4 linked regions of the Danio rerio genome follow. The protein of the gene in region 4 purifies or fractionates together with the protein of the main gene of each other region. This does not show direct contact. Links are inferred from orthologs where the notes say so. Each region holds a gene or a part of one and is shown on either strand. Other genes may lie near its edges.

Evidence for each region.
Region 1: the proteins of lgals3a (region 4) and slc12a2 purify together in Homo sapiens (affinity purification with mass spectrometry; 3 studies listed by BioGRID and IntAct, counting the BioPlex papers as one, with this or other methods). This does not show direct contact. The link is inferred for Danio rerio from reciprocal best matches to the Homo sapiens genes LGALS3 and SLC12A2.
Region 2: the proteins of lgals3a (region 4) and ece1 purify together in Homo sapiens (affinity purification with mass spectrometry; 3 studies listed by BioGRID and IntAct, counting the BioPlex papers as one, with this or other methods). This does not show direct contact. The link is inferred for Danio rerio from reciprocal best matches to the Homo sapiens genes LGALS3 and ECE1.
Region 3: the proteins of lgals3a (region 4) and slc15a4 purify together in Homo sapiens (affinity purification with mass spectrometry; 3 studies listed by BioGRID and IntAct, counting the BioPlex papers as one, with this or other methods). This does not show direct contact. The link is inferred for Danio rerio from reciprocal best matches to the Homo sapiens genes LGALS3 and SLC15A4.

Annotation. Positions count from the first base shown.
Region 1 is NC_133185.1:18,568,774-18,573,720, forward strand, and holds part of slc12a2 (solute carrier family 12 member 2), read left to right. Parts: intron 1-1,154; coding exon 1,155-1,295; intron 1,296-1,896; coding exon 1,897-2,003; intron 2,004-3,962; coding exon 3,963-4,036; coding exon of another isoform or gene 4,037-4,042; intron 4,043-4,396; coding exon 4,397-4,519; intron 4,520-4,947. UniProt on the Homo sapiens protein: Cation-chloride cotransporter which mediates the electroneutral transport of chloride, potassium and/or sodium ions across the membrane. Plays a vital role in the regulation of ionic balance and cell volume.
Region 2 is NC_133186.1:30,031,481-30,035,593, reverse strand, and holds part of ece1 (endothelin-converting enzyme 1), read left to right. Parts: intron 1-188; coding exon 189-299; intron 300-399; coding exon 400-467; intron 468-2,109; coding exon 2,110-2,300; intron 2,301-2,764; coding exon 2,765-2,860; intron 2,861-4,113. UniProt on the Homo sapiens protein: Converts big endothelin-1 to endothelin-1.
Region 3 is NC_133183.1:42,790,013-42,794,873, reverse strand, and holds the end of slc15a4 (solute carrier family 15 member 4), read left to right. Parts: intron 1-2,725; coding exon 2,726-2,877; 3' UTR 2,878-3,912; downstream 3,913-4,861. UniProt on the Homo sapiens protein: Proton-coupled amino-acid transporter that mediates the transmembrane transport of L-histidine and some di- and tripeptides from inside the lysosome to the cytosol, and plays a key role in innate immune response.
Region 4 is NC_133188.1:40,044,849-40,050,396, reverse strand, and holds the start of lgals3a (galectin-3), read left to right. Parts: upstream 1-1,967; 5' UTR 1,968-2,144; intron 2,145-2,437; 5' UTR 2,438-2,440; coding exon 2,441-2,455; intron 2,456-4,744; coding exon 4,745-5,434; intron 5,435-5,548. UniProt on the Homo sapiens protein: Galactose-specific lectin which binds IgE. May mediate with the alpha-3, beta-1 integrin the stimulation by CSPG4 of endothelial cells migration.

The sequences.
Region 1 (4,947 bases), on a different chromosome or scaffold from region 4:
TGTTATTATGCATATAGTATTACGGTGTAATGTCTCGACTTTGTTTTTAAAACATGCCGGTTCCTATGTTTTCATTCTGGCTAGCTCCACATGAGCTAGTGATGGATTTCTGTAACCAATCAGTGTTCAGCTGCATGTGTAGCTCCACCTTTTAGTACCCTTTCAAAAGAGTGCAGAAAAAGTGGTTCGGTTCGGTACGCCTTTTGACAGTGGAAACAGCCATAAAAGCGTTCCGTACTGTACCGTATGGCTCAGTGGAAATGGGTCATTAGTTGGTTTTGAATCTTAGTAAAGCACTTTTGAAAATAGCTTGAGCTGAGGATAGCAGTAGAATGAATTTGGATCCAGATAATAACAACATAATAATACTACTAATATAAATAGAATAATTGTAATAGTCACATTTTCCACATCTTGAACACCACAGTAACCACAAGGACCATCTACAGCCCTAATTTCCTAGTTAAAGTGTTGTTGGTCATGTGTTTCAGTTGTTTGACATGCCTTTGTTTTGGGGAATGACGGGACTGTTTCACTTGGCTTTAAAGTTTGATTTGTGGTTTTTGTTAGCGAGCGCTAATGAAATATAACTTCTCTCTGGATTAGTGGTTTTAGTTGTCTTGTAAATGAGCAGTGAAATGCATGCTCTAGCTCATTCAGCATGGTATTTTCCTTTGAATGGAGCTTATAAATGGTAATATGTCACACACTGGGTGATTTCATTGCTTATCTGTTCGACAAATCAATAGTGCAAACTTCTACAAAAAAAATCCCTTCGTCCGGCTTTCCTACTGTAACATTTTAAACTTGTTAATACACAGAGAACATGTTGTATGTGTGTTTTTGGAGCAAGTAAAATGTTGTGCAATCCATGCTTGAATGGATTGTTTATGGCAGCTCTCGTTCCTATTGGAACATGTTCTTGGAATAATAAAACTTGCTTTCACTCTGTGGAGACAGTTATTATAGCTGTGTGTAATAAAGCAGTCTCTTATTTGGGGGTCTGTGTGGAGCGTGATAATCAGAATTATCAGTAGAAGTCTCCCCTGGCACTTAAAACATTTCCGTAAACTAACCATGAGCTTATTATCCACTCATGTTCCTATGGCATAAACTCATTTATTCATTTTTCTTTTGTTTCTGCACTCATTTAGAGTTCTCGACGGCCCAACTTCAAAGAGCTAAACAGCGATATGTTGCGTTACCAGAGGTGGCTCCTTAACAACAACTCCAAGGCCTTTTACACATGTGTCGTTGCTGAAGACCTCCGTCAAGGAACCCAGTACATGCTGCAGGTGTGTGTATGTGTGTGTGATCTGTTTTTAATTCATTCACTTTTTCAATTGTCCAGTTCATAAAAGCTGTAATGCCCAGATCTTTTTCACTGGTTAATTTAGAAATGTGTTTGCTCTTACTGAAGGTTTTGTTTAATTCTCTCTAAAATTGGCTCACATATTCTTCATGTCAATTTTTGCAAAGTCACTGGAATTTCAAAGGCTCCTTTGCACCATTTAGCCTAACACTGGGCTTTTCTTTCTTTTTGATTCTTTACTTGCTGCTTAGTGTGAGGTGTGCACGTGACCCATAATCTGCTCACAGCTGAATTCTGTTTCAGCCTATTTTGAAACATTTAATTCTGGTATGTGCATGTTGATTTGACCTACATTGATGTGGACAAAACTGGCCCCACAATTCCACTCTACACTATTGGTCATGCTAAATATCGCTGTAATACAAAAGGATTAGATAATCATGAAATGTTTTATGAAAATATACAATATTTTCTATTAGAGTATGGGTTGAGTTCAGTAAAAAAAAACTTAACACCCTTGGAAAGTCTGGTTAATGAAAGAAGTTTGTATTTAATTACGAGTGTGTGTGTTTGTGTTTTTACAGGCTGCTGGACTGGGTAGATTGAGGCCCAATACTCTGGTTATTGGTTTCAAAAATGACTGGCGCACTGGAGACATAAAGGAGGTTGAGACCTACATAAACCTAATACAGTAGGTTTAATTTTTTAGTTTGAAATCAATCCACTATCAATGCATATAATCCTATATTAGTGTGCCATTATGTTTTGTTGTGCTGTTGGGTATATACAGTCACCGCCTACATTATTAGGTACCTTACTAGTACCGGGTTGGATTACCTTTTGCCTTCAGTACTGCATTAATCCTTCATGGCGTAGAATAAAAAAGGTACTAGAAATATTCCTCAGAGATTTTGGTCCATATTGATATGATATCGTCACGCAGTTGTGGTTTCACCACATCCCAAAAGGTGCTTTATTGGATTGAGGTCTGGTGACTGTGGAGGCCATTTAAGTACAGTGAACTCATTGTCATGTTCAAGAAACCCATCTGCGATGATTCGCGGTGTATGACATGGTGCGTTATCCTGCTGTAAGGTGCCATCAGAAGATGTGTACACTGTGGTCATAAAGGGATGAACTTAGTCAGCAACGATACTCAGGTAGGCTGTGGTGTTGACACAATGCTCAATTGGTACTAAGGGGCCCAAAGTGTGCCAAAAAAAATTCCCCACACCATTACACCGCCAGCCAGCCAGAACCGTTGATACAAGCCAGGATAGATCCATGCTTTCATGTTATTGCCAAATTCTGACCCTACCATCCGAATGTTGCAGCAGTAATCGAGACTCATCAAACAAGTCAACGTTTCTCCAATCTTCTGTTGTCCAATTTTGGTGAACCTGTGCAAATTTTAGACTCAGTTTCCTGTTCTTAGCTGACAGGAGTGGCACCCGGTGTGGTCCTCTGCTGCTGTAGCCCATCCGCCTCAAGGTTTGATGTTTTGTGCATTCAGAGATGCTCTTCTTTATACTTCGGTTGTAACGATTGCTTATTTAAGTTGCTGTTGCCTTTCAAACAGTTTGAACCAGTCTGGCCATTCTCCTCTGACCTCTGGCATCAACAAGGCATTTGCACCCACAGAACTGCTGCTCACTGGATGTTTTCCCTTTTGGACTATTCTCTGTAAACCCTAGAGATGGTTGTCCGTTAATTCCAGTAGATCTGCAGTTTCTGAAATACTCAGATCAGCCCATCTTGCACCAACAACTGTTTAAAGTTCCCCATTCTGATGCTCAGTTTGAACTGCAGCAGATCGTCTTGACCATGTCTACATGCCTAAATGCATTGAGTTTCTGACATGTGATTGGCTGATTAGAAATTTGCAGTTGGACAGATGTACCTAATAAAGTGGCTGGTGATTGTAGTTTATTTGCCTGAAATCTGGTATTTATATATGAAACATGAGATTCAAGGTGAAATTTGGACAAAACAATATGCTATATGCTTTCAAAAAAAAGTAGTGAGTAGTGTTGCTAGGGCTGTAGCGCCATTAAATAGTTATGGTACAAAAATGTACACTTTCTTAATGGTAGATAATTGTTCCTTCATCTAAATCAGGCGTGACCAACCCTGTTCCTGTCGACCTACCTGCAGATTTCAGTTGCAACCCATATTAAACACACCTGCCTGTAATTATCAAGTGCTGTTCAGGTGTGTTTGATCAGGGTTTGAGCTGAACTTTGCTGGAAGGTCGATCTCCAGGAGCAGGGTTGAGCACCACTGATCTAAAAGATAAGCTGTTGCAACAGTAAGTTTTTTTTTTTTTTTTTTTTTTTTTTTTTTTTTGTTTGTTTGTTTGTTTGTTTGTTTGTTTGTTTGTTTGTTTGTTTGTTTCTAGACATTTAAAAAAAAACATTTAAGCCATGAATAATTTGTTCTAATCTAGTGTTTTTAATAGCATTGCTTTTAACAGAAAAATATATACTGATGTTTATTCTCAATTGTAGAAAATACAACAATTTAGAAACTAATATTAACCACATAAATTATTTTTACAAAGTTATATAGCTTTATGCTAATATACACCTTTTACATGTTTGTGTAAATTGCAACTAATGTTTTGTTTGTTTGTTTGTTTGTTTGTTTGTAGTGATGCGTTTGATTTTCAGTATGGTGTTGTCATTCTCAGACTGCGAGAGGGACTTGATATTTCTCACATTCAAGGTCAAGGTATAGTCCTGTACATTTAACTTCAGCATGAGCACGTAACTTGTAAAAAATAAAGAGTTTAACAAATGCTTCTGCTTAGTGCAGCCCTGCAGCCTAGCTTCAGGTGAAAATCTTTGTCTCAGCAGGTCGAAATTTTACTCCGTTTGTGTGAGAGAGAATTTAGAGCAAAGTATGTGAACTCTTAAGCCTTTTTAGAGGGAAAACATGATGCTCATAGCTGGACATGCGTGATTTCTTCAATGTTTAGGCAGATCTAATCGTCCATGTAATTAGTTCATTAAGACTTGCTTTTCATGATAGATCTAAATTTGCCTTGACCTCAAAGTAATGCTTAACTTTCCATTGTCTCTAAAGATGATTCTTCAGGTATGAAGGATGTGGTGGTTTCAGTGGACATAAGCAAAGACTCGGATGGAGACTCATCCAAACCCTCCTCCAAGGCCACCAGTGTTCAGAACAGCCCAGCGGTCCAGAAAGGTTAGCACTTTTACATCTTATTTTGCTCTTGTTAAGTTCTAAAGAAGGTCTTGTCAGGCTTTGTACGGGTGCTTGAAATCTTTCAAAATGCTTGGTTTATTTATTTATTTTTTGTGTAATGTTTTTAAGATTTGGAAAATGCTTCGTTTTTGGAGTAGAGTGCTTGAAACAGCTTAAAGATTTAAATGTTTTGCTTTTATAAAAATCTGATTTACTAAATAGGTAATACTTAAAATGGTCTAAATATATATTTATCAATGTGCCTATAAGCATGATATTGCTGTCTTTTTTTATCTGTGCCCTTTGATTAAGTGGGAGAAGACCAAATGGATTAAGATTACCACTTCATAAGTGAACAATACATGGTAAAGTAAATATAATGTGAGTAAATGGCATTTAGAAGAGTCAGTGACTAATTCTATGCTTGG
Region 2 (4,113 bases), on a different chromosome or scaffold from region 4:
TATATATTTGAAAATCTAAAAATAGTATTTTTATATATATACTTTAGATAATGTACAAAATGTCTTGATGGAACATGATATTTAATTATTATTCAAATGATTTTTGGCAAGACACATGTCAGTTTTTGTGTACTGCAGTGATCATTGAAGTCAGATTTTTTTTTAACTTCTCTTCTCTTTGTGTACAGATGGAGTATGACTCCACCTACTGTCAATGCCTACTACAACCCGACAAAGAATGAGATGGTTCTTCCTGCAGGCATTTTCCAGGCTCCCTTTTACAACCACGCTTGGCCAAAGTAAGATTGTTTTCCATTAACAAAACCCTCACCTGCTTATTAAGCCTCGTCAATTTCAGCAAATATGTCATCATAAACACATCATTCTCTTGTTTTTTAGAGCCATGAATTTCGGTGGGATAGGTGTGGTTATGGGGCACGAACTCACCCATGCTTTTGATGATCAAGGTCATTTATTATTCCTTATTTCAGATCTGCTGTGTGAGACTCAGTCAGTTGTTGTGATAGAAGAAATATAGTCTTGCTCTCTTTCATTATCATACATATAGGTGCTAATTTTATTTAAACAATACTGCATATTTAAAGTTTAAGCAACAACATTCTTACCTAGAGAATCGTCTAATGCCTCTGCTGTGACTTTTGTGGTGAGAAATGCAGCAAACAGAGTTATACAAAGGAGGTTTCTCTGAAATACAGCTTATGGTTAAACATAATTTTAGTTTTTTCTCTAAACTACCATACCTTAAGTTTAAAATGAAATGTTCTCATTTCATATGTGGTAGAATAACTCTGATTTTTACCCTAATTACCCTAACCTGCCTAGTTAACCTAATTAACCTAATTAAGGCTTTAAATGTCACTTTAAGCTGTATAGAAGTGTCTTGAAAAATATCTAGTCAAATATTATTTACTGTCATCATGGATGGCCAGGATAAAAAAACAGTTATTAGAGATGAGTTATTAAAACTATTATGTTTAGAAATGTGTTGAAAAAAATCTGCTCTCTTATTAAACAGAAATTGGGGGAAATAAACAGGGGAGCAATTAATTCAGGGGGGCTAATAATTCTGACTTCAACTGTGTGGTGTGTGTGTGTGTATATGTGTATATGTATGCCATTATTTGCTAACTTGTCCCAACCTTTAATATTTCATCTAATTTCAGATTTGCAGTGTGTAAGACTTAATCAGTTGCTGTAATATAAGAAAGAAAGTGTTCCACTATTTTATTATCATATATATATAGAAAGAAATGGAAGAAAAGTTATCCAATTTTTGGGAAACTGGTTTGGGAATTTTTATGTGAACCTTTTTTTTTATATATCTTTATCAAAATGTTAATAAATACTAAAGAATAGTTCACAAATTTATTTTAAAAAAAAATAATATCATTTACTCACTTGTTCCAAACCTGTTTAATTTTTTTTCTGTTGAACATAGAAGATATTTTGAAGAAAGGTAGAAACCTGTAGCCATTGACTTCCATAGTATTTTATTTTTAACAAGTCAATTGTTACCGGTTTTCAGATTTCTGCAAAATGTCTTATTAGGGTTCGAAAGACAAAAAAAAACAAACCTATAAGGATTTAAAACCACATGAGGATGAGTAAATAGCAAATACATTTTCATTTTCATGTGAATTATCCATTTAGCCAATCTTTGGGTTTGGTGGCAACATTTTTAGCTTAGTTTAGCTTAGCATAGATAATTAAATCACATTAGACTATTAGCATCTCACTTAAAGATGACCAAATAATTTCGATTAACATTGCTTTTTAAAGTTTGACTATTCTGTAGTAAGCTTTAAATATGACAATTTTTTAATATCTGGTATTTTTGAGGTAGATGCTAATGGTCTAATCCAATTCAATGATTTATGCTAAGCTAAGCTAAAAGTGATCCTGCTAGAACCAGAGATCGGCTAAATGAAATTAAAAAAGGTAGAACTCAACTGTTTGGCTCTGGAATAGCTGTGAATAGTTTTTCTTTGAAATGTTTATCCTTTTAAATCATCTTACTATTATAACAGAAATTTGTTGATGTTGAAATGTGAATATGTGTGTTATTTTAAAAAAACTAATATTTTACAGGACGCAAATATGACAAGGATGGAAATCTTGCAAAATGGTGGCAAAATTCGTCAGTGGAAGCTTTTCAACACCAGACCCAGTGCATGGTGGAGCAATACAGCAACTACAGTATTAACAATGAACCCCTGAATGGAAAACACACTTTGGGAGAAAACATCGCTGACAACGGAGGCCTGAATGCGGCTTACAAGGTTTGTTGTGGAACAAAAATCTACTTTTAATCTATCTAATTCAATCGACAGATCTGTTGTGTCCATCATACAGACGCCAGTGGTTACTTTCCATAACACGAAAACAGCTTCTGCGTATGGCGTGTGAGAATCCGAGACCAAAGGCATTACGTTCTCTATATTTCCCTCATTGACGGCTTTGATAGTATTTGGGGGGCTGTAGTGATCCCGACTCGCTGAAAAGCCTTTGCGGGGCAACAGGTGGCTCCAAATGGGCCGCTGTTCCTCCAGCAGCTCGGATTCTTTCCGTCGGCTGAAAAGTCATAGGTTACGGAGCAGATGCACAAAGCATATGGCCCGGAGAAGAGCCTGCGTTGACCTCTCTGATGGAGAGGAAAATAAGCGTGGACACGAGGGCTCTGTTTATCTGGCATCTCAGCATGCAGAGTTATTGGTGGACTAATGTTATCACGCTTGCTTTGCAGGCTTATGTAAACTGGATCAAGAAGAACGGCGAGGAGGCCAGTCTGCCTGCCCTTGGGATGAACAACCATCAACTGTTTTTTGTGGGATTTGCTCAGGTTTGTGTGTTTTTTTTTTTTTTTTTAGAAATGTTTGATTGTTGGCCTGATAATTTGAGTTGTTTTATGTGCATGATAAAAAGGTTTTGGGTTCATTCTTTCATTCATTTTCTTTTCGGCTTAGTCCCTTTATTAATCTGGGGTCGCCACAGCGGAATGAACCGCCAACTTATCAAGTATATGTTTTACGCAGCGGATGCCCTTCCAGCTGCAACCCAACTCTAAGAAACAGCCATACAAGCTCATTCACACTCATACACTACGGACAATTTAGCCTACCCAATTCACCTGTACCGCATGTCTTTGGATTGTGGGGGAAACTGGAGCACCCGGAGGAAACCCACGCGAACGCGTTGAGAACGTGCAAACTCCACACAGAAACGCCAACTGACCCAGTTGAGGCTTGAACCAGTAACCTTTTTGCTGTGAGGCGACAGTGCTACCTACTGCGCCACCATGTCGGGGTTGTGGGTTGTGAATCATTAATTAGTAAGGCTAGGATTTATATTGAGTTCCATACTTTGTTTTATTGTCTGATAATTGAAGTAAGGTGTGCTTAGCCTGTGCTGTTAGAAACGGGTTAAACTTTACAATCAAAAAAAGGCACAAAACAACAGCAAAATATGACAGTTGTGTCTAATAAAACCTATAGAATCTATTCAGAAAACCCCAAGCAACAGAATAATTATAAATAACAATGCCTTTTGTTAAGAAAAAATTATATAAATGAATAAAATATTTACATAAAACATAACGATGGTCTTAAAACCAAAAAACTAAATTAAATTTAGTTAAATCTGGGCCAAACAAAACCTGTTTTGGGCTAAAATAAATATAAATATCGAAATTAAATAACTAAGCACAGAATTTTGATAAATTGTATCAAACAGCTATATCACTCTGCAGCCCAAGACTGGTTACTCACTGAAGCTAAACAGGGCTGAGCCTGGTCAGTACCTGGATGGGAGACAGCATGGGGAAACTAGGCTGCTTTTGGAAGTGGTGCTAGTGAGGCCAGCAAGGAGCACTCAATCTGCGGTCTGTGAGTCCTAATGCCCCATTATATTGAAGGGGACACTGTACTGTCATTGAGCGCTGTCCTTCGAATGAGTTAAATCAGAGTCCTGTCTCCCTGTGTTATTAAAAATCCCATGCCACTTCTCATAAAGAGTAGGGGTGTAACCTCAATGTCCTGGCCAAATTCCCTTCACTGGTTCTTACCCATCATGGCCTCCCAATCATCCCCATCCACC
Region 3 (4,861 bases), on a different chromosome or scaffold from region 4:
TCTGGTCTAAAAAGGAAGGCGTTCTGAGGCGGACCGCTGGCGCGTTGCTATTTTGAGAAACTATAATAGATTTTTCATTAGACCAAAACTAATCCGGTCTAAAATCTGGCGCAGAGTTGCGCCTCACTTACGCACTGCTTAATACGCACAAGAGAGAAATAGGCAAATATCTTTACATATGAAAAAATGTAAATATTAAGGATATATATAGGATATAATAAGAATAGATATAGGACATAAATATAAAGGATTAAAATGTTACAAAGCATATTATTTTCTAGCCTACATAAATATTAAAAATAAATGCTTTTATGTCTTCTTCGTCTCGGGAGGCTTTTTCAGTTCATTCATAACAATTTGCTTTTGTATAATGTTATTATTATTAGCAGTATTATTTATTATATCCATATTTATATTTGTTTTATTAAAAACAAGCTTAGATTTATATAAGGAGATTTAGATAAGGAGCACATCATGTGTTTTAGGATATAACTCAGGTTTTTGAACACACTTTGTTAATGTTGTTCATTTATTTGTTTGCTGGAAATTAGAACTGAATTTAGAAATAGTTTGGAAATGAATATTTGCGCTTAACAAACAAAAGTATTTATTTATAGACTAATTGATGTCTGTGCGTAAAGGTTTCCCTATCCAAGAGCGAAAGTGAAAGTAGTTCCATTATCTCTCATTCTCACGCAGTAGATGCTCTGTTTAACAGTTTTCTGTTTAAAAACTGTTTACTGTTTGCTTGTGAAATGCTCATTTTTTTCCACTTAGACTTACTTTACGTCCTGTAAATAGCGAATGCGCTTATGGCGTGACGCAGCTGGCTCTTAAAGAGAATGGGAGATGAGACTCTAATTAGTTTATTCTCAAAACACACCTATAACTCATTAAGAAAATAAACTCAACCCTTTTAGACTATGCGCCACGACACAAGGCAGATTTCCCGTTCTTAAATTAGCAAAAATGCGTCCTGACACGCCCTGAAAGCATTTGCGCCCTGCGTTTTGTGCTCTGCGCATGGACCGTCAAAATAGAGCCCTATCACAGTAAAATTAAAAATAATTAGATACAATTAATTGTTATTAAAGTTACTAACAGTGCAATTATTTATGTCTGAATGCTTTAAAAATCATCATATAATCACAGGCCTCAAAAACGCATGCGATTGATAAATTATAATACTGGATCAACATTTGCAAACTGTAATGTGAGTAGGACACTGACAAGGAAAGTGCAGATCCAAATGCAGGTTTATTTCTCAGGCAAGCAAGGGTCAACACTCAGACAGACAGATGTATACAAGAAATCCAGAGTCATAGTCATAAAACAGACAGATGGTCAAAAGGCAGGAAGCAGACAGGAATAAACAAACAAAACAAAGCGTGGATCAAACACGGCAAGGCAAAGAAAACATGTCAGAATGTTCACATTGCAGCTAAACAAGACTCAGCAATGAGAGTCTCAAAGTGAGCTATATATATATATATATATATATATATATATATATATATATATATATATATATATATATATATATATATATATATATATACAGTTGAAGTCAGAATTATTAGCCCCCTTTGATTTTTTTTCTTTTCTTTTTACAATATTTTCCAAACGATGTTGAACAGAGCAAGGAAATTTTAATAGTATGTCTGAAAATACTTTTTTCTTCTGGAAAAGGTGTTATTTATTTTATTTCGGCTAGAATAAAAGTCGTTTTTATTTTTTAAACACTATTTTAGTGACAAAATTATTAGCCCTTTTAAGCTTAATTTTCTTTTGATAGTCAACAGAACAAACCATCATTATACAATAACTTGACTAATTACCGTAACCCGCCTAGTTAACCTAATTAACCTAGTTAAACCTTTAAATATCACTTTAAACTGTATAGAAGTATCTTTAAAAAATATTTAATAAAATATTATCCACTGTCATCATGGCAAAGATAAAAAAATCCAATATTAGAAAATGAGTTTTCAAAACTATTATGTTCAGAAATGTGTCAAAAGTATTCTCTCCGTTAAACAGAAATTGGGGAAAAAATAAACAAGGGGTCTAATAATTCAGGGCGGCTAATAATTCTGACCTCAACTGTAAGTGTAGTGTGATCAGTCCATGAGCAGCATCAACTGTGTGAATCTAATCAATAGAGACTTGGAGCAGGTGTGTGTGTGTGTTGCATGACAGGACTTGTAGTTCATATGAGACAGGATTGTAGTCCAAGTAAATGTTCTCCAGCGATCCATGGTTAGATCGCTGGTGATCGTGACACAAATCATATGATGTGACTATTGTGAATTTTCACATTGCGATATCCATGCTGAAACAATACAAATAAGTGTATATATGATACAATAAACCCATGGGGTTCAATGAAATGCAGGCTCCTGTGGCTCAAATTTCCAGAACACACTTCCATTCTCTATTCACAACTGACCCAAAAGATCCACACCAAAGGGGAAAAGGAACTTGAGTTCAATCAAATCTAACTAGACTAGAATACACCCTTAGTTATAAATTGCAATTATTGATCAACACTCTCCTGTCAAAACAATTGAGACCTTCTGAAGCACTAAAACAATATGCTTGAATTTAGTTTCAGCTAGTGTTGTGGTGTTGTGATTGCTGTGCTGTAAATCATGTCAAAATCATCCGCTACTGAAATTTGATATCCAAATGATCCCCTTTTCTCTCTTGTTTCTTCTATCTGCAGGTAACATCAATGAGTGCAGGCTGAATTATTACTTCTTCCTCCTGGCCGCCATCCAGGGAATCACACTCCTCATCTTCCTCATCGTGTCTGTGAAGTACGACAAACAGAAGCCAAAACCAGCGAGCCATAGAGCGTCTATGAGTAACTCATGACCTCCTTAACTCATCGCCAGCCTTAAACAGTCATACTCTCACCTTCACTCATTCCTCAACCCACAAATCACGTGCCAAACATTTTGTTAATTATGAGGTATGATTTTAAAATATTTGACTCGAAAACTTGAAGTCCCATGCGTTTGCTGGACCTGGCCTTACTATTGATTTTTTTTTTTTTTTGCAAGAAAATCTGTCTGAAAACAAGATACAAAATATTTCGTACTGTATGAAATGGCTGGAAATGAGGTTTATTGACTCCATTAATGGACTTGATAGGTACATTTATTCTCAATTTAGATTTTTTTGACTTCCTTTGTCCACTATACCACAGAATATAGTGGATAATTATATTACACAGTCCACAAATGACACTCTCAAATCGAAAGTGTTTTAGATTTGTTTACTATGGGTTATACCACATCACCAATTTAAATTGAATATTTATTCAGACTTTTTAAGTGATTAATGCTCAGCAAGGTTAGACCACTCCTCTTCAAATGTATTTAAAATTGTATTTTTGAGCATGTCTTGTTTTTGTGCTATTTTTCATTTTACTTCTAAGGTAATTTTGGCACTATTGCACTGTATGGTGCGTTCTTTTGTTACTTCATCAATTCTAATTTATTAATAGATACTAATTGGCTTGTTTTTAAATATTGTTGATGTCTAAAAAGAGACAACTCTTTTGATTGGCTACTCTTTTTCAGATGCACACAAGTAGCCCATACAGAATCATAAGTGAAGCAATTGAGAAACATGCAGTGCAACAGACTTGATATATTTTTAAATAGTCAGATCTATAATAATTGTGTCCTTAACAGTTTGATTACATTTGTATTTTCGGTACTAAACCTGTGGCATTACAAGCTTTTCTCACTTTTTAGATGATGTTTTTATCAGGCATTAGATTCCTACTAGCTTGTTTTTAAAGATTTTGATCATAAGTTGTAAGGCCAAGCATGGCATCACTCTTTATAATGCTTACCCTAAAAAAAAAAGAAAAAGAAAAAAAAGAATAAAATAAAAGATTTTTGCTGCTTGTTCTTAACTACTTATTTAAAATGAACTGAAACAACACAATTCTAGAGGTTTTCATGGAAAACTGAATTGTTTTATGTCGTTAAATCTGCTTAAATTTGTATAAACAATTAAGTTAACTTAATCGATTTGTGTTGGGACAACATTTAGCATTTTTATAGTGTCTGATGAGCAGTGTTGGGGGTAACATATTACATAATAGTATAACTTTTTAAGTAACTAATGAAGTAATGCATTACTTTTAAAAATAAGCAATGTTATTTTTATTACATTTTACCTTGCTTGGCTTTTAAAAATATATATTGTGGAATAAAATTACATTAGGTTAAATTACATACTCAGTGAGAGAGCGTGCTGCGATGGAACAAACAGTTGGCTCACAATCATTATCATCGGATCTCTTTTTTCAAAGCAGATGAGTCAGTGTACTGTTCTAGTTACTGAATAACTCAGGATATTGATTTAGTTAGAGTCAGAAGGGGTATCCGGCATGTTAAAAAAGTAAGTACTTTGTCTACTGAAGACGCAACCGTTTCATGCCGACTCACTTCCCTTTGGTGAACTGATTCGACCAGTTCACTTAGAAGATCCAGTTAAAAACAAACGATTCATCCGCGAATTGGCTATAATCACTCCAGACACTTAGAAACAGGAGACTTACATTTTTTTGCAATAGAGTCTTGTTTTTTTTTCATCGAAGCAGAGAAGTGGTTCAAGTGTAGATTATAAGTAAAACTCTTGACAACTGCAAGAAACACGACATCGCATACCTCCAGCTTAACAAATGACTGACATTAGTTCACGTTCTCCAAGAAAAACAATTAATTATACTAAATAAAAATTTATCGCTTTTATTGTTGAGGAGATGCAGCCACTATTAAATGTTACTGTAGAAGCAACTAAGTTTTTGTAATATAGTAAGATTTTATTTAATTTTTTTCTC
Region 4 (5,548 bases):
TTTCAAATCACACTGAACTGAGCTAAACTGAACTGAACTTAAACACTAAAAACTGAACTACCCTGATCCAGTTACTATGACCATTTATGTGAAGCTGCTTTGACACAATCTACATTTGTAAAAGTGCTATACAAATAAAGCTGAATTGAATTGAATTGAATTAAACTATATGAGTTCTGTGAACTTACTCTATTTAGGTAAAAGTATTAAAGTACTTAATTAACTCATTACCTTCAACACTGAGTTCACTCTTTTCAAATGAGTAGAATTAACTTTCAGTCAATTTTGAGTTAAGTACACTCTTCATTTGATAAAGTTGACTGTTAGGTTTTACCGTGTATTAAATCTCATTTTTATTTAAATTAAAGTATTATTAAAGTATTTATTAAGGATTAGTATGTATATATATCATATAATGCCCTAAGCTAATACATTCAATGTATTCAAATATTGTTTCTTAAAAGTCATTTATAAATGTCACATTTACAATGAAACAGTTTTTAACACACACATATATATATATATATATATATATATATATATATATATATATATATATATATATATATATATATATATATATATACACATTTTTTTTTAATTAATTAAAATTTTTTTTTTTTTTTTTTTTTTTGCTAAATAATCAAACCATTTTTTTTACCAAACTTTGAATTGTATTTGGGTATATCTCACACATCAATAAGAGGCTTGCAAAAAAAATAAAAATAAATTCATGTTTATCAGAGGGGTCCTGGAGGGCTAGTGTCCTAGAGGGTTGAGCTCCAACCCTAATCAAACACACCTGAACCAGTTAATCAAGCTCTTACTAGATACTAGAAACTTAATGGGTAGTTGTGTTTAAGCAAGTTGAAGCTAAACTCAGCAGGACACCGATCCTCCAGGACCGAGTTTGGACACCCCTGATGTATATATATATGATGACATGGTGGCTCAGTGGTTAGCACTGTCACCTCACAGCAAGAAGGTTGCTGGTTTGAGTCCCGGCTGGGCCAGTTGACATTTCTATGTGGAGTTTGCATGTTCTCCCCATGTTTGCATGGGATTATTCTGGGTGCTCCAGTTTTCCCCACAGTACAAAGGCATGTGCTAGGTGAATTGAATAAACTTAGTTTATGAGTTTGTGAATGCCAGAGTGTACGGGTGTTTCTCACTGCTGTGCTTCAGCTGGAAGGGCATTTGCTTATATATTTATTTTAATAATTTAATATTCTTATTTTTACTTTAAAGTATTTATTGAGGATTATTATTTATATATTTATTATAACTATAATTGTTTATGTGCTTTTTCAATAAATTTCCATATACCCCTATCACCCTAGTACCTGCAGGGTTGAGAAAATCCTGCGCCAAATGAATACATTTAATGTATTCAAATATTGCTTGTCACATTAAATGTGAAATCGTTTTTGACGTTTTAATTCAAAATCAAAGTAACGTAAAATAAGATTTTAGTGAAATATATATACAAATATATAGCACATTTTAGAAAATGCAACCATTGGTTATTTAAGTGTTCTTAAAGGCTTAATAAATTAATTGAAGTAAATATAAAACAAAATAATTTAATAGATGAAATTAAACAATGTTTGATCCCAAACTTTAGTGTAATTAAACAAATGTTTTGAATTGTATTTGGGTATGCCCCACACATTAATAAGATTATTTTATATATGTATATTTGACACATGTTTGGCCTCCTAGTTTAATAGTAAACATTTTGTCAACCTTGATTTGTCGTTTTACTGGAATGGTTGTTTTATTTGAAGCGTCCCAGATCAGAAAACACCCCCTCCTCTAGCAAACTCCGCGCATGCGCAAATGAGCCAGCCCATCCCTCAGATGACACGCCCATCGGGGAACGTGCGCGTGCATAACGCTCATATCTGATCTATAAACACAGTAGATTGTTTCTTGCCTTTGACTACAGCGTGTGCCGTCTGATCCATATACTTTGTTGCTCACGATGTTGTTAAACACGCCGTTGAAAAGCCTCAATGTTCCAGTTATCACCTCACTTCCTGTATAGAGTTTAGTAATTCTGACTTTCGGATCTTTTCGGGCGACGGGACCTGGTACTTCTCAAAAGCCCGAATCCTCGGACCGCAGGCCCCGATCCAGGCGAGGTGCTGATTACCACAAAACTGCACACATTTCACTCAAAACGCGCATGTGTGTAGTCCTGCCGCACATTAGTGTATGTTTATTTGGAATGGAGCCTGATTTCAACCTAAATAAGAGATTTGTTTAAAGTATAGTGGCTAAAATAGTCGCCTTCGAGAATGTGTTGGCTCCTGTGACGCTACTCTCTATTAATAGCGTTTTCATTATTAGTTGGCTACACGTTCAAGATTTATGACAGAATGAGGTTTGTATGTTATTGCATGTCATTAATTGTCACCGTTTGTTTTTCTTTTAGGCCATGGCAGACTTTTCGGTAAGTTTCCTTTCTTTTTAACTGTTAATGAATAATCCTGTTGAACAATTCACTTTCAGCAGTTTGGAATGCATTTCCTCCTGTGTTAGTACAATAAGAAACTTTGTGTGTTTTTTTTTATCCGTGATTCCACTAGTATAAATGACTGTAGAGTGCGTTATACTTCCCCAAAGGTGAATGTAGACCATATTCTTTATTCAGCACATAGTGTTTTGTTATTAAGTGGGTTATAATATTGACTAAAATATAATAATATTGAAAAACTTTAATTCAGGCCAAACTGAAGGAGATAATATATACATTAGGAAGAAAATTATATATTAGGAAATACTGTGAAAATGTGCTTGTTCTGTTAAACATAAGTTGATAAATATAAAAAAGATAAATTCACAAAAGGGCTGTTCATCCTAATTCAAACTATAAAAAGATATTTGTATTTGATTTGTCATTTTGCACAAATGACAGATGCACACCTGCTGTAGAATCCAGTTATAATCGAGGCCTGATGTTTGTGCTTGTCCAGTATGATTTGAGAATGATTCAAAAATCATGTTTGTGCTTCAGTGGAAACACATTTCTAACTTTCCTTGTCTCAAAGTTTGTGTTTCCAGAACAATTCAATTCAGAACATGTTTATTTTTGTTTTTCAAAAATTCAATTTTCAGGTTTATTTTGTTTTCATTTTCCATATCTTAAAGAGCCCATATTATGGGTTTTTGAAAATTCCCCTCCATGTAGTGTGTAACACAGCTCTAAGTGAAGTGAAGTATCCAGCTAAGGCTTAAATCTGTAAGAATACAGTGTTTAAAACGGTTGATTCATCTATAAAAGAGTCGACTCATAATGCTTCAAACGAGTCGCCTTGATACCGATTCATTAGGTGTTTCGCCATGACGTACGAACCGAAAACCAAGTTATTCACGTGCACGCGCAAACCCGGGAGATTTCAAACCTGAGGCCCCGCCCTCTACGCAGAAACCCAGACACACACACCCACAAACACACGCACACAAACATGCCGGTCGATTGAAGTCACACTGCAGATGGACATTATCGATTCTCTACCCAGAGATGAAACCTCAGCATTATAACCAAGCAGTTGGAAACTTCTGGAAACTACAGGCTACAAAGAATACTTCATCTGCGTTTGTTAAAGTAAGGATCAGTAAAGAGTAACTTACTAATGGACGTCAGGATGAGTTTCTTCCTCCATTTCTCAAATGTAAGTACGTGCGATTAAAGTTGCCTCGTTGACTCTAGCTTGCAAATGTATTTAGTTGTGATTTGTTACTTGTAACCGCGTGTACTGTATCAGGTTAACTGGCTATATTCTCTTATCGCGTGCAAAGTCACGTTAAAAACGTGACGCGTGCTGTTTGTTTACGGAGCTCCGTGGTAGAGGTCTGCAAATTTCCGAATCAATCGCGGGAGCGGTCGGTAACAGGTTTAATTTGGGACGGGAGCGGGCTGTCTAGCAATATCGTGGATATTGCTATGCGAATGAGACAGAGCTTTGCCTGCCTGTGTGTCTGCTTGGCGCTTGTGTGTATGTGTTAGTGCGCGCGTATGAGAGAGAGAGAGAGCTCTGTCTGGCTGTCTCTGGACTGTTTAGCTGGGTGATTTTCGGTTATGTTCTCCCCCGCTCTTTAGCGGGATCGGGCGCGGCAGGCAGAAAACGGGGCGGTTCGGGCACCGGGACAAGAAATTCTAAATATAAGCGGGAGCGGTCGGGTTCAGGCTAAAACCTGGCGGGTGCGGGCGGAAGCGGGAGCGTTGTCGTCCAGAGGTGTTTGTGTGTGTGTGTGTGTGGCAGCTTAAATCCACGCCTACACTATGGAGCGCGTATGAACTGTGATTACTTTTATATTGCTGATTAGCTATTAGGCATTTCATTCTCTGACTGAAGGCAGTCGACCAATCGTGACAGACTGTCATCGGTCCAATCAGCGCAGATTAGCTTCGCGCTAAGGAGGGGTTTGGGAACAAATGAATCACTGGACGATTCATACAGGAGTCGCTGGGATAATTAGGTAAAAATAAAAGCAGATTATAAGACCATGAAAGTGTTTTTTGACTTTGCATGCATATTAGACTGTTGTTGGAGACCCTTACAACCAAGATATGACCCTATTTCATGTATAATATGGGCTCTTTAAATCTGTTCTCAGACTTTTGGACTCTACTGTTTGCCCTAGTTAGTCTTTGTCTTTTCAATGATAATAACAGAGCAGAAGTCTTTCTGATAAAATGCCTAGCTCATGTGTTATTTCTCCTATTATTCTCCTGTAGCTTGCAGACGCAATCCCAGATGATGTTCCTAGTGAAGCATCAAAAAATAAGCACACCAATCCATCAGCTCCTGGAAATGGAGCTCCCCCACCCACTAATCCTGGCTGGCCTGGTGCAGCCCCTGGCGGCCCTCATTTCCCACCTTCTGGAGGCCCTGTCCAACCTGCTGGCTTCCCCCAGACCTGGCCATCTGCCCCTGGATCCTTTCCTCCTGGCCCAGGAGCCCCAGGCCAGTTCCCTGGAGCCCCTGCTGCCCCAGGCCAGTTCCCTGGAGCCCCAGCTGCCCCAGGCGGATACCCACCAGGACCGGGCGTACCAGGACAGTTCCCTCCTAACCCTGGAGCTCCAGGACAGTTCCCCTCTATGCCAGGTCAGTTCCCACCAGGTGGGGCACCCATGCCATATCCTGTTCCTGGACAATTCCCCTCCCCACCTGGGGCTCCACAGGGTCCCAATCCAAACGTGCCTTACCCACCAGGTCCATCCGGACCTGGCATGTACGGCCCCGGAGGCCCTGGTGCCTTTCCACCAGATGGAGGTCCAGGATATGGAGGAGGAATGTTTCCTCCAGTACCACCAGGATCTTGGGGACAACCAGGAGGAGGCTTTCCTGCTCACCCAGGCCCACCAGGAGGCTACGGTCCCGGGCCCATGGGACCATACGGAGGACCTGCAGCTCCAGGTGGAATGGTGAGTTAAACTCCAGTCTATAAATGGGTTTGCACGTGTAAGTCTGCTTGTGATGGGTTTGGTTTGGTGACGGCTCTGCTGGAGTTGGTTTGGTCAAAATGTTGGTGACATCCA